Canis lupus familiaris: one gene and its partners. The protein of the gene in region 1 binds, or shares a complex with, the protein of each later gene. Links are inferred from orthologs where the notes say so. Each region holds a gene or a part of one and is shown in the gene's direction. Other genes may lie near its edges.

Region 1 (5,012 bases):
GGTGCATGCTTGTGTTTATCTTAAATTACTTCATGACATTTCAGGGATTTTCACCCTTGATTGCAACAGAACTGTAGAGAGAAAGCTTTAGAGGGAAGTCTATTGCAAAGAGCATCTGACTGTGTCCCTTATTAAACATTGAATGAAAAAAATAAAAACATTGAAGTGGGCAAGTTTTCATGCAAAGAGTTTTGGCTTGAATATCCGTCACCAGTGAGGCTCTAGAATGGCTACTGGGCAAACACGAAGCCCTACACTGACCATTTCAGAGTTCTGTGACTTCAGGCTGGAAGGCATGTTCAAGGGACAGGAAATGACTTCAGAAAAGGAGGTAAAATGTTCGTCGCAAGCTGTTGCTAAAGAATCACAAGCCAACCCAGGCCCCAGTACCCAAGATGCTGACATGCTACTGAAAGATATGGAGGATAAAAGAGAAAACTGGAGAAAAGGCCCCCACCCTGTGAACTCTGGGGTGTTATAATAAAAGACTTAAGGTTTTCAGGTCACTTTGGTTGAGTCCTGGTCTCGTTATTAGATTGTATGCTGGCTCTGTTTCCTCAGAATGTTAGTTCAGTGACCCCTGGAGGAAGCAGGAGCACTCGTTTGGACCTTACTTTTCTACAGGTGTTTAAATATGATTTAATATTCGAGAGTCATTATTATCCAGATTCATGAAATAGGCTGTAAAGGAGCCAGCTTACGAGTTTTCCTTCGTAAGGCAGCTCTACAGTTATCCCTAAAGTTTAACGCCATTAAAAGATTTGGTAAGCACCTGCTTCTTAAAAGGCTCTGTGCTGGTCTTCATATCCCAAAGGATAAAAACCTAATGCACAGTCTTCAGGCCATAGCCTTTGAGTCATTTTTCCAGTATGATAAGACTCACGAAACCAGATTGACTGTCACTGATTGGAAAGCCAGTTGACTAGAGTTAAAGGTCTAGAAAGACCTTGTCTCCTTCTACTTGAGGCAAGCTAACCTAACGGTGAGATTGAACCCCTGCTTTGGCTGGCTCTTATCTTGTCCTAAAAGGGAACACCTGGCCACTTACTAGTGGCAGCTCTGCTGACCAAGAGCACAGGTGTACCAGACGTAGAGACAGCAGCCTCTCCACCTCAAAGGGAGCTTTGAGGTCCCCCATCCAGCTGCCCACTTTGAAACAAATAGGGTTTTTCCTAATATCCAGATGGACGGTGAGACATGAAGAGTCCTCTCCTGACATGAGTGATGCCAACTGCTAGCAGGCTTCAAGTCCTGCAACTTTCATCTGCAGTTCCAAAATGAGGCAGTAGGATGAGTCAGACACCCCCATTTCCCATCCGTGTTCTCCTCCCCGCCTGCAACCGCCTCTCGCATGTGGGTGTGGGGCCAGGCGGTCACCTGAACAGCCTGTGTTCTCTCTAGGTGAGGAGAAGGACTATACCATATGGCTGGCTCACTCCGCAGACCCCGGGGATTATGGAGATGGCTGCATCTTGGGTTACAAGGAACAGTATCTGCGGCTCCGCAAGTCGTCCGTCTGCCAGAACGGCCGGGACTATGTTGTGACCAAGCAGCCGTCCGTCTGTCCCTGCTCCCTGGAGGACTTCCTCTGGTATTGGCCCCCCTCACATCCCTGTTAGCCCCTTTGCTGGGCGGGAGGGGGCAAAAGGCAGTTGTCTTCGGGGGCTGTAAAGGATTTCAATCCTTCCTTCCCCGAGTGTGGCGAGCTGCTGCTGCTGCTGCTGCTGCTTATTGAGGAGCTGGAGGCACAGAGAAGGGATCCACAGTTACAGTCCTCAGACAGGTGATCTGTCACACCAGACAGCAAGGGAGAGAGGTGTATAAGGAGAAAGAGAACTCAAACCCAGAGAGGAACCGACAGTGTGGAAACCACCGGGAAGGGCAGTGCAGCAGCTGGGGGGAGGTTGGGCCTCCTGTGCTCACTAAATACCGACCGCCCGAGTGCAGCAGGTAGGGCGCTAGGTTTTGGATTGTCTGCACGCCTGAAGGCAAAGAGTGCTTCTGTCCTGAGACAGGAGGGGGCATCGGGGTGGTGATGTCCAGATGTCCCATCAGGGTCTAGAGGCCATCGTGGTGGACTCCCTCGAGTTCAGGACCACCAGGTACAGGGCTAGTGACAAGGCCAGCGTGGAGTTAGCTGATTATCTAAGGGTGAGACAGGCCCCAGCTAGCCAAGCAGGGTAGCTTAGCACAAATGAGAGGGGCTGCATGCCGTCACAGCCAGTAACCTCATGGAACTCGTTTCTTGCAGAACATACTGGCAGGAAGGTAAGGTGAATCCTAAAGGATCTGGAAAGAGTGCAGGCAGATAGCAGTCGTGTCCTCCCGCATAGACATTTCTCTAGAACTGCGGGTGAGGGGAATGGGGGATGGAGCGAACCCCCGGTCTGACTGCTGTGGTCCTGCCTGTGTGGCTCACGTCTGTATGTGGAGCAGGCCAGGGGTGACCTGCTGTCCTTCCACAAGGAGTGGGATCCCTCAGATCACTGCGGTGTCCCTCTGGGGCTAGAGCTTGCTGACACTGATGCTCCAGCGGGCTGTCTTCATCACACAGACCAGGCTCTTAATTACCTGGCCTTCCCCTGCTTTCCAGACATGCTGTGCTCCGTCAAAGCTCCACACTGTTGTTTACGCAGCTTCCTCCACCCGTGAAGTCTTCCCATGCTCCCTGCGTGACCCCCAGGCTTGAGGAGGTCCTACTTGGCCTTTAATACATAGCGCCCTTCTTCTCCTCACGTGGGCTCCTGCAGGATGCCTGCTGCTAGGTTTTGGTTATTGTGCATGGATTGGTTCCACCGGTAAACTCCCGACTCCTTGAGGGCACATTAGATTTGATCATCTTGGAGTACACGCAGCCCCTGACGTCTACTGAGCACGGACCCGGTAGCCAACCCCATCCTGAGCAATTTACATTTAACCTCAGCAGCCTCTGAGATAGGGCCTGCTGCCATTTCCATCTCACCAAGAAAGAAGATTCAGAGAGGTCCCTACTAACTTGCAGCCCACACAGTGGCCCAGCCAGGAAGCAGAAGAGCTGGACTGTGCTCCTGACAGCCCCACTCCAGAGCCTGCACGCTTCCCTCCCATGCTTGAGAAATGTGTACTTTGTGAGCAGGAAGGACATTTTCCCTGACATGTGCGATTGGATACCTAAACTTTTTGCCAGAATTTTCCCCACTGTCAGAGGTCTGGTGTCTTGGCATCGCTTGTTCTCTTCTTACCCCGTTCCCTAAACATTTGTCAGAAACACCTTGAAGTACAAGCGCAGCATCAGTGCATTGCCTAAACGTCCATTGCATCCTTGCTGTGCTCAGGGTAGCACAAAGTGACAGTAAGTTTGTTGTTGATTGTCCTGGTCAGATGCACAGAATTATGCGGTGAAACAGTGCCTCGGGGATTTAGCGAAGGGAAAGGCCATTCCATCTAGAGCTGAAAGGCGGTGTGTCAAAGAAGGCTTTGTTGGGCAGCCCGGGTGGCTTGGCGGTTTAGCGCCGCCTTCAGCCCAGGGTGTGATCCTGGAGACCCAGGATCTAGTCCCGCGTCGGGCTCCCTGCGTGGAGCCTGCTTCTCCCTCTGCCTGTGTCTCTGCCACACACACCCCCTCTCTCTCATGAATAGATAAATTTAAAAATCTAAAAAAAAAAAGGCTTTGTTGAGGAGGTAGCATTTGAGCTAGGCCCTGGCAAGCGGTAAGACTTGTCCTTGCACATCTGGGAAGAAACAAGTCCTTAAAGCCAGTGGACTGGTACAAGAGTAGATACCACCAGCATGCTCAGGAAGAGTGTGCTGGGAGATCGGCCATGAGGGGAAGTCCCCATGGCCACGATAAAGAAGCGAGTAGGGGGCAAATAGGGGATGCCCAGGCTGAATTTTCAGCTTAGATAATGGAAGGAAGGTAGCACCGTGGCAAACACAGAGAAGTGATGGGAGAGGCTGGCTTGAGAGAGAACACATGATGCGTTTTGGATGTTTTCATTTATTTGGGGTTCTGATTTAGGTGGTGATGTCCAGCAGGTACTGAGAATGGAGGCTCAGAGCTCTAGAGAGGTGAGACCTACAAGTTTTAGTTGCAACAAATAATTATGCTCAGACACAGGCTAAGAGAATGACTTGCCGACGCTGGAAAGTGTGTGCATTTCCAGGTTAGAAGATGGAAACCGAGAGAAACAGGCAAGCACAGCTGGCCAGGGGCTGGGGCAGGCAGTGTGTTAGGTGCCACAGCACAGGCCAGACCAGAGGGCCCCCCAGGGTTGCAGGCCTAGTGAGTCCTGGGGGCCTTAGAAGTTTACCCCCAAAGTTGTAGAGGGTGCTAAAGCCAACATGCACAGAATGCAAAGTAAGAGTATAACAGAAAAAATCTAAAATATTATTTTAAGAAGAGAGAGAAGGAAGAGGAAACACATAGGCTAAGGAGAAGCCCCCAGCTGCACGGGCCTGGTGGTCCCTCTACACCCTCAGGGAAGCTAGGTCCCGGGACAGGAGGAAGGACGGACCAAGGATGCTCACATAAGGCGTCAGCCTCTGAGAGGGGGCAGTGTGTGAGTTCTTAGGGGAAAGGGCAGATGGGAAGTGCGGTGGAGAGATAGGGTAGGATGGAGGGCAGGACAGGGCATTCACACTGGAGACAGAGGGACAGAAATGAGGCAGGCAGAATCTGACCTACACCCTAGGGCACCCTGCCAGAGAACACAGTAACGAGTGATCAGGAGGGAAATAAAAAGATCACTAAGCGGCGTGGGTTTAGATCTGTCGCTGATGCGACAGTTTTTTGGTGTCGTGAGTCCCTGGCCTGTGCAGTTGGCCCCTGCCTGGAGCCAGTGCTGTCTGTGTGTGAGGGGGGGGGAGGCAGTTCCCGAGGCCCAAGCTCACCAGGCCTGCCCGTAAGCTGCCCGTGGCCCCCCAGTTTGGTCTTCTCCATGCCTGTTTCCCTAAGTACACCTTCTCTACAGATGACACTGAACTGCTTCCAAAGACTGGAATATTAATCTTCCACTGCTCCACACAAAACCTTC
Region 2 (3,983 bases), on another chromosome or scaffold:
ACAGGGCAGGTAAGGAAGTGGGAGAGCATCAGGTTCGGGGTTGGAAGTGAGGCGAGGCCTCATCTGGCTCTCAGCTGGGGAAGAGCTCCCCGCCACCTGGGCTGCCCCGCACACCTCTCTCCCCTTCCAGGGGTCATATGCCCTGATGGCCGGTCCCAGTGCCCTGATGGTTCCACTTGCTGCGAGCTGCCCAGCGGGAAGTATGGCTGCTGCCCAATGCCTCATGTGAGTGAAGGGCTAGGTGCCCACAGTCACCTGGCCCGGACACCTACCTTGGAGGGACGCCTTGGGGTGGGGCGTGCTGGCAGGTCCTTGGAAGCTTGGCTGCTCAGGACTCATGCCACCCCCTAGTGGGGGACTGAGGCAGTGTCAGCTGTCACCTGGCTGCTCCCTGAGCTCAACGGAGATTGGAAGTCACAGGACCTTCCCCTCCCCCCACCCAGGCCATCTGCTGCTCCGATCACCTGCACTGTTGCCCCCAGGATACTGTGTGCGACTTGGTCCGGAGTAAGTGCCTCTCCAAGGAGAACGCTACGGACCTCCTCACCAAGCTGCCAGCACACACAGGTACCAGAGGAAGGCTGCAGACCCCATTCTACCTGCACCATGTGCAGGAGCTCTCCACTGCACTGTTCCAGGAACAGATAAGGGGGTGGGAGGCTGATGGCCACAAGGAGGGGACAGGGCTGGCACAGCCCCTTTTCCTCCACACTAGTCATTGCCTTTGGGTCACTGCTGAGGTGGCCTAAATATACTCTCCATTCTCCACACCTGGGTCCAGCTGTGGCGCCAGCAAGGGGTTGGGTGTCCTGAGGGCCCCCACAGCCACCGCTGACCTGTCCTCCGTGCCTTTCTCACAGTGCAGGAGGTGAAATGTGACATGGAGGTGAGCTGCCCAGACGGCTACACCTGCTGCCGTCTGCAGTCAGGGGCCTGGGGCTGCTGCCCTTTTGCCCAGGTACCCAGGAGTGGTGGGTGGGCTGGGCTGAGCAGAAAGTGGCAGCCAGCTAGGCCTCGTGCCCATTGTCCCCTGTCCATTCACCCTAGGCCGTATGCTGTGAGGACCATGTACACTGCTGCCCGGCTGGGTTTAAATGTGACACAGCGAAGGGCACCTGTGAACAGAACGCCCCCCAGATGCCCTGGATGGTGCAGGCCCCAGCCCGCCTTCAGCTGCTGAACCCCCAGGCCACAGAGAATGATGTCCCCTGTGATAACGTCACCAGCTGTCCCTCCTCCAATACCTGCTGTCGACTTATGTCCGGGGAGTGGGGCTGCTGTCCTGCCCCAGAGGTGTGTGGGTAGGGGGAGAGCATGGCAGGGGGATGACAGGGTCTTAGCCAAGGCAGGTGGCCAGCCTCCTGTTGCTTTGCTCTTCTCTCCCCTGCCTGGCCCACAGGTGGCACACCAGCTGGGTCAAGTTCATTCCCAGCTGGGGGAGCTGTGAGCAGGAGAGGGAGTCGGGCTAGGCAGGGGCTTAGCTTTTTGTCCCACATGGCAGCTTCCCAGACCATCCTGTTCTACCACTGTCCCCCCTACCCCCCCCCACCCCTGCCAGGCTGTCTGCTGCTCAGACCACCAGCACTGCTGCCCCCATGGCTATACGTGCTTGGACGACGGGCACTGTCAGAGGGGGAGCAAGGTGGTGAGTGGACTGGAGAAGATGCCTGCCCGCCGGGCTTCCCCATCTCACCGCAGGGATATAGGCTGTGACCAGCACACCAGCTGCCCCGTGGGACAGACCTGCTGCCCAAGCCTGAGTGGAGGCTGGGCCTGCTGCCAGTTGCCTCATGTGAGTGCCCCCCCCCCACCACCACCCCACCTGCCCTGCACAGGGGGTCTGAGTCTCCCAGGGAGAGGAGGGGAGAGTTGAAGGCTGCCCTGTCCCTCCCAGGCTGTGTGCTGTGAGGACCGTCAGCACTGCTGCCCAGCCGGGTACACCTGCAACGTGAAGGCCCGATCCTGTGAGAAGGAGGCAGACTCGACCCACCTGGCCGTCCGCCTGGCCCGTGGCCCTCGCGTGGGTGTGGGGAACGTGAAGTGTGGGGAAGGGCACTTCTGCCATGATAACCAGACCTGCTGTCGAGATAGCCGAGGAGGCTGGGCCTGCTGTCCCTATCACCAGGTCAGTGCTCCCTCACCCCTGCCCTGGAGCTGGGTATCCCTGAGAGCCAGGTGCCCCACTCTGACCCCCTGCCCCCACCCATCTGTGGCCGTCCAGGGTGTCTGTTGTGCGGATCAGCGTCACTGCTGCCCCACTGGCTTCCACTGTGGGGCCAAGGGCACCAAATGTCTACGGAGGGAGAGCCTGCGCTGGGACATGCCACTGAGGGACCCAGCCCCAAGACCGCTGCTGTGAGGCGAGCCGAAGGACTATAGAGTCTGCAGCCCTTGGGACCCTGCTCGGAGGGTCCCCACTGCTCAGGCCTCCCCAGCACCTCTCCCCCACCAAATTCTCCCAAGTCCCCCATCCTGAGTCCCACCCCCATCATGGTTGCTGGGGCCTCAACCTAAGGCCTTCCCTATCTCAAGGGAGGCTGTGGCGAAAGCCATGTTACAAGCTGCCATCCCTCCCTGTTTCCGTCTACCCTGTGGCCAGGTGCTCTTCCCTATCCACAGGTGTATGTGTGTATGTGCTGCAGTAAAGTTTGTACACTTTCTTAACAGCGTCTGATTTGACCACCTTGCCTGCCCTACTCTGAGAAGGGCTCCCACCCAGTGTCCGTGTTCCCCAACCCCACAGAAAGACACACACACACAGAGTTAATCTCACCAGTTTTATATTTGCTGTTGCCCACAGCAATCCCATCACACGATCCCCTAGTCCCCAGAGCCGCCCCAGCCACCAGCCCTGTGACATTGTAGCCCAGAGATGGGCTAGTCAGCAAGCAGCACCCCCTCCCCTCCCGGGGGTCCACAGAGAAGGCCCCCTCCCTTCCCGGCCCTCACACTAGCAGCTGAGGCCCGGTCGCCCCTCCTGCTTCCCCACAATAGATCTTTCTATGTACAGCCACGTTTATACAGGCACTGCTTCCCCCCACCCAGCCCTCCTTCCCCAGCACCTCCCCAATGGGGGTCTGGACCCCTCCCACCTCCTCCCTCTTGGAGGCTGACCCGGGTCCCTCCCGAGACCTCACCCAGCACGTACCACTGGACAGCTCCGCAGGCCCCCGGCCACCTCTCCCGGCAGGGCGGGGGGCACTGGGGCGCTAAGAGCGAGGGCCCCCGCGGCCCCCCGGCGCGCGCACCCTGGGGGCGGAGCCGGGCGGGAGGGGCGGGGGCCGGCCCGGGGGCGGCGCCAGGCCGGGCGGGGGCGCTACTTGACGTTGAACACCATCAGCGGCCGCTCCTCCCGCCGCTGCCACGGGCTCTTCTTGTCGCCCGCCTCGTCGCCCGCCTCCGCCCCCAGCTCGTCCTCTGGGCTGGTGAGCGAGTCGCGCCGCAGCTCGCTGGCGCTGCTGCGGGAACTGTCCCCGCGGCTGCGGCCCCGACCCCGGGGCACGGTGGCCGCCCGGCCCTCGGGCGCCGCCACCTCGTCCAGCAGCGGCGTCAGCGAGTTGTCCTCGGGGGAGCAGAGGCCCGTGCGGCTCTCGCTGCTGCTCGGCTCCGTGTCCTCGCTGAGCGCCAGGCGCGGGGGCGCGGGCGGCGGCGGCGGCGGCGGGGGCGGCGGGGCGGCGGGGGGGGCACGCTCCCGCTCCCGCTCCTCGCGCAGGGGCCGCCGGCGCGCGGGCCGCGCCTCGTGCACGTCGACGCCCGAGTCCAGGCTGGCGTCGGTGCTGCGGCCGCCCCCGCCCGCCTGCAGGTCGATGTAGGAGTGGCGCACCTGCGAGTTGGAGCGCCCGTCCAGGGACACGAACCAGGCGCGCGGGTGAGGCTTCACGCCCAGTTCGAGCAGCTTCTTCTCGGTCAGAGCCTGCAGCTCCCCGTTGAGCTGCGCCATGGTGGACTCGTTGAACAGCACCGGGATGGTGACCGAGCCGCTG
Region 3 (5,012 bases), on another chromosome or scaffold:
AGCCTGATTTAAAGAAAGAGAGCCTTTGCCATTTTTTCTGAATGAAATAGTTGAAACCTTATACAAAATATTCTCAAATACAAGATATCTAACTTAGACATCCTGTAGTCAGTACAGTTTTCTCTGCTGGGCTTCCTAGGTATGACAGGGACCAATGTGACCTTAAATAATTGTACTATTGAGTCATGTAGTGACTACTTTAACTGGCAGAAAGAAACAGGATGATTAATTCAGTTTCCTCATCCAAAAAAGTAACCAGATAACACAAATCCTGACAGATACTTTACAAATAAAGCATTCTGTGGTCATATTAGTTTGGGGAATATTTGACACTATATTGGCACCATTAAAAAGTTACAATGGGGGCACCTGGCTAGCTCAGTTGGTAGAGCATGTAACTCTTGATCTCGAGGTTGTGAGTTCAAGCCCCACTTTGGGTGTAGAGATTACTCAAGAATAATAAATTTAAAAAAATTAAAAGTTACAATAAATATGTGCAAGTAAAAAAGTTCTGAGGATACCTAAGTTCAAGAAATCTTTACAATTTCTTTAAATTTAAGTTTTCCATTGTACTTGACAGGAGAACTCTTTGAGAAACAATGAGTGCAGAACTAGTGTTCCAAGGAGTACACTTTAGAAAACATTCAATTAGATGATCTACAAAGAACTTTCTAAATGTAAAATTATAGTATGCCATTAACTGGTATGATATAAGGTGTTGCTGCCAAACAGTGGAGCATGTCTCTAAGTTTTCCATAACAGAAGAGCTTAAGCAATGGCTGGATAATTGAATTCACAGGGTATGGCTGAAAGGATTTCTAAACTGGCTAAAACCATCCTATGTTATGTTATTATATATCATATTCAAGTCAATATCTTTGTACTCATATATTTGCATGTTCTTAGGGTAAAATCTTAATCAAAGGGTGTGTACACTTTCCATTTTAACACAAGATATCCTTCAAAAAGTTACAACATTCTACACCCAGACTGACAAATATTTAGAAGAGGAAGTAGCCCCATCCCCATGTCCCTAGAACTACACCAAATGAGTGTCCCTGTCCTTTTGAAAGTCTTCCGAGGAGGTGTTGGTGGTCAAGTTGAACATCTTTCCATATATTTCTTCTTTGATAAGGGATTCTGTGACTTGTTTACTCATTTTACTTAAACACAGTTTAAAATTTTTAGTTTTTTTTTTAATTGGTGCATTCAGCAGTTTCTTTTTGAAGATCTTTACCTGTATTAAGGATATTAACATTTTGTGGCAGCTTTTACATTAAGGCTGGTCATTTTCCAGAGATGTTCTACACATTTAATTTAAAATCATCCTTTTCTTTATGGATTGTGGTTTAGATATTTGCTTAATAATACCTTTCTAGGTTTATAAAACAAACTTTATATATTTAGACACTATTCTACTTTTACTCATTTGTAACTACAGTAAACTACAGTAGATCAAGAAAGTTATAACTAGATGTAAGTCCAGATTTCCTGATAGCCAATTGTCTCAAGGATTTCAAATGTGAACTCTGTTATACGCTGCTCATTCATTTGTACTTGGACCAATTTGGGGATATTATTTTCTATTCTGTTGTTGCCTTTTGCTGAGCCTTTAAAGTACACTTCAGTATCTGGTAGAATAAGTTCCTCCTCATTGCCTTTTTATTTTTCTAAATCTTGTTATTCTCACACTTTCATGCTTACAAATTAATTATTTTGCCAAATCCCCAACTCCAAAGTCCGGTATCCCCAGGTTTTCCAAATTGGATTTTTTTTTTTTCCAATTGGAATTTTGATTTTCAATTGCATTATGGGGGGGAGGTAATTCAGAGACAATGGACATGTGATATTGCCATTATTGAATCCTCTCATCGTGGTTGTGTGGTCATTCACATTTGTGTGTGTGTGTGTGTGTGTGTGTGTGTGTGTGTTTAGGAAAAATGCATGCTTTCCTATATGCCATTTGAAATTTTTATTATTTTGCATTTAGGTTCTCCTAAGTCTTTATGTTTCCTCACTGATTATTATTGGCACATAGGAAAGTTATTGATGGTAATACTGGTTTCAGACAAGATATAATTAGAAAAAATGGTAACTCTAGAAAATATTATAATTTACAAATAAATAAATTGATCAGCTGTGATGCTGCCTATGAGAACTATTGATGTGTGGAATAGATTAGTGATCTCACACTACTGTAATTGTCCAAATCTGTTAGTATCATCGCAGTCCATGCTCCATTAGACACCAAACTGAAGTGTAGTAAAGAGAATAGTATTTTTAATATTTTCATCTGTGATATATGCATATATGTTTACATATTTATACTCACAATTATTTCTATATTTTTTGCTTTGCTCATGTATGTGTGCTTGTGTGCATGTTTATAATTGTATTACATTAAAAAATTGAATATAAGAGGAATTGGTACTAATAAATTTTGTGATGTAAGGTTACTAAATTAATAGCAGTGTAAATATGAAGCTAGAGTAAAAGATTCTAAAATATAATGGCTTTAATGGCTTAGCATAATGGAAATTAATTTCTTATTTCATAGAATACAAGTTTTAATTAGCTATTTTTTTATTTTAAGTACCTAATTTTTTTCTATATTTCAGATCAGTAAAGCAAGTGTTTCTTCTTGGAAAATGACCCTGCTAAATGTTTGCAGTTTTGTCAATAACCTGAACAGCCAAGCCGAGGAAACAGGAGAGTTTCGTGAAGAGGAGCTTATTACAAGAAGGAAATTTCCCACTGCCTTGGATGGCTTTAGCTTGGAAGCAATGTTGACAATATACCAGCTCCAAAAAATCTGTCACAGCAGGGCCTTTCAACAATGGGAGGTAAAGCAAAAACAAAATATGAATGTAATTCTCGTTATACTAGTTAGCTTTCATTTGTCCTGATTTTTTCTGCCCTGATCATTATCATAACAGGAAGAGTTACAGATATTAAAGAAGAATAAACCATGTGTTTAGGTTAACATTCCTTCAGATCTTCAAAGTGTCCTTCAAATATTTGGAGTTTAGCAAAATATTTTTTCTTCAATCTTAAAAGGGGGATATATCTTAAGGCAGATTTGATCCACATGCTTTTATTGTGCTTAAATGGATGGCATACTTAGGCAATTTTTAGTGGTCACATGCCTATAAAATTTAAGAGCTCAAAATATTTTCTTAGAAACACCAAGTCATGTGTGTCTATAAACAAACACAAAATGAAAGGTTCTACTTGTATTTGAATATATCAGGCAAATAAAACTGGAAAAATCCATATATATGTATTCCTATTTCAATTGAATACATAGATTTCAGGCATCCTTAGCATCTAAACTAGGTCCACCACAGCCAACGCAGCCAAAATCCATTATACAGAAAGAACTACACTAAAATAGGATGAAACAGTTGTATTAAATACTATACTAGTGATTTACTGCCTTTGATTTTGGAACAATTGTTTGCTTGAAGGAGGAAAAGAGAAATGAAAATGCTTTAAAGAAAAAAAAATTAAAATTTTTTCCAACAAGGGAACCATTTCTCTCATATTAACCTCTAAGAGAAATCTGCTTAATGATTTGTATTTTGGGTTTACACCAACATGGCAAATTTGAGGGTGCCTTTCCTGCTAATATAGCAATCGCTGTAGAGGACTATCACAGAGACACCCTGAGGAAAAGAAGAAATGCAAACTAGAACTTCTAGTGTTTATTTTAACTTGTAAACAAGAAGATGTTTTCTAGATGAAAAACCAAAAAAAAAAAAAAAAAAAAAAAAAAAACCAAAAAACAAAACTAGTTTAAATTTTACTTGATGGACTACTAATCCCTAATTCCAGTTCCAGCTAAATAGTTTAGTCTCTAAAACATTGTTTAAGTCAATAAAACTTAAAAAATCCTAATTTTAACATAGGGAAATGTCAATTGTGTGCTATTTATCCAGGAATTGAAAAGAAAAAACCTCAATAAATTATTATACATACAAATCAGGTGCACATACAATTAGAACTTTCACTATTTTAAATGTTTTACTGAGTAATTTAAAATAAAGTGATAATATCATTCAGAACATAATATGAATAATTATAGACTATGTTCACAGAGAAACATAAGATTTAGAAACTAGATTGTCTGCCAGTACCTGTTTTTTCTTCTCTGAAATTGGATGTTATGGGTTGAGATAAAGTACTTGGTGATACAACTCAGTCCATAAGCATTATAATTAAAATTTTAGTCTCCTCTTAGTATTTCTTATGACCCCAAAGATTAGAGGACAATCACAAACACAAAGACAATTCTTATTTTGAACATTTGTTTTAAAATTTCACATAAATTATGTGCAACATTCTGGGACAAGTTCTTAAACATTTTCCGTTAGCTGAAATTTTTGAATCACACCTGTACCAGAAAAAAGGGTTCAGAATTAATTTTAGAATGTGGCATATTCAATGAGATAGTAGGGAAGATTCTACATGGAGATGAACTCCCTTAAGTTATGGAATCTGAACTTGTTTCTAATTATTAGGCGCCACAACCTGAAGAGATCTTTACTATTTAAGCAGAGCTTTCACATGCGTGAATTTCTGTCACAACTAAGTTAGGCAGAGCAGGCATTTCTCTCCCTTTGATTAAGAAATGGATCTTCAGAATGGCTTTCAAGTCAAGTTGGTAATTAAGAGAATATAAAATATAAAATCCTGTTGCCTTTTGAGGCTAAACTTGGCTTACTAAATTAAAAACTCTTTATTTGTTGTTGATTTATAATATATTTTAATGCAATTTAGTTCCTCTGTCATAAATTAAAGCCTGAAAAATCTTCGTAACACAACTAGGTGTGTTACTTCAGTTGGAGGTGTTAGTACATGGCCTTGAACAGAGAATTGGGAAAAACCATATCCTATCTCAGTCAGCTGATAGTCATCTGTCCTTGCACAAAACATTTAATTGCTTTAAACCTCATGTATCTTATCCACCTGTGTCTTACAGTCTGAATAGCAAAAGAGGTAAAATGTAAAAT

Evidence for each region. The genes of interacting proteins can lie anywhere in the genome.
Region 2: the proteins of SORT1 (region 1) and GRN are in contact, whole or in part, in a crystal structure (PDB 8T8S), measured with the Homo sapiens proteins. The link is inferred for Canis lupus familiaris from reciprocal best matches to the Homo sapiens genes SORT1 and GRN. Residues at the interface, in NP_002950.3 of Homo sapiens: Leu108, Gly110, Ser111, Val112, Ser113, Leu114, Ile174, Gly175, Pro176, Lys260, Tyr304, Ser305, Phe306, Gly307, Leu308, Phe314, Ala315, Ser316, Arg325, Ile327, Phe350, Tyr351, Ser352, Ile353, Leu354, Tyr395, Thr398, Gly399, Thr402, Phe404; in NP_002078.1 of Homo sapiens: Pro578, Arg579, Trp580, Asp581, Ala582, Pro583, Arg585, Arg590, Gln591, Leu592, Leu593.
Region 3: the proteins of SORT1 (region 1) and NTS are in contact, whole or in part, in a crystal structure (PDB 4PO7), measured with the Homo sapiens proteins. The link is inferred for Canis lupus familiaris from reciprocal best matches to the Homo sapiens genes SORT1 and NTS. Residues at the interface, in NP_002950.3 of Homo sapiens: Val112, Ser113, Leu114, Ser115, Trp116, Lys260, Tyr304, Ser305, Phe306, Gly307, Leu308, Phe314, Ser316, Arg325, Ile327, Phe350, Tyr351, Ser352, Ile353, Tyr395, Gly399, Thr570, Gly571, Leu572, Ala573, Trp586, Trp597; in NP_006174.1 of Homo sapiens: Leu152, Tyr153, Glu154, Asn155, Pro160, Tyr161, Ile162, Leu163.

Annotation. Positions count from the first base shown.
Region 1 is NC_049227.1:42,964,191-42,969,202, forward strand, and holds part of SORT1 (sortilin), read left to right. Parts: intron 1-1,401; coding exon 1,402-1,591; intron 1,592-5,012.
Region 2 is NC_049230.1:18,951,530-18,955,512, reverse strand, and holds the end of GRN (progranulin), read left to right. Parts: coding exon 1-9; intron 10-130; coding exon 131-225; intron 226-443; coding exon 444-567; intron 568-860; coding exon 861-958; intron 959-1,047; coding exon 1,048-1,293; intron 1,294-1,558; coding exon 1,559-1,792; intron 1,793-1,894; coding exon 1,895-2,125; intron 2,126-2,221; coding exon 2,222-2,359; 3' UTR 2,360-2,664; downstream 2,665-3,983. Other genes in the region: protein FAM171A2, read right to left, coding at 3,317-3,983. UniProt on the Homo sapiens protein: Secreted protein that acts as a key regulator of lysosomal function and as a growth factor involved in inflammation, wound healing and cell proliferation. Regulates protein trafficking to lysosomes, and also the activity of lysosomal enzymes.
Region 3 is NC_049236.1:27,665,255-27,670,266, forward strand, and holds part of NTS (neurotensin/neuromedin N precursor), read left to right. Parts: intron 1-2,618; coding exon 2,619-2,843; intron 2,844-5,012. UniProt on the Homo sapiens protein: Neurotensin may play an endocrine or paracrine role in the regulation of fat metabolism. It causes contraction of smooth muscle.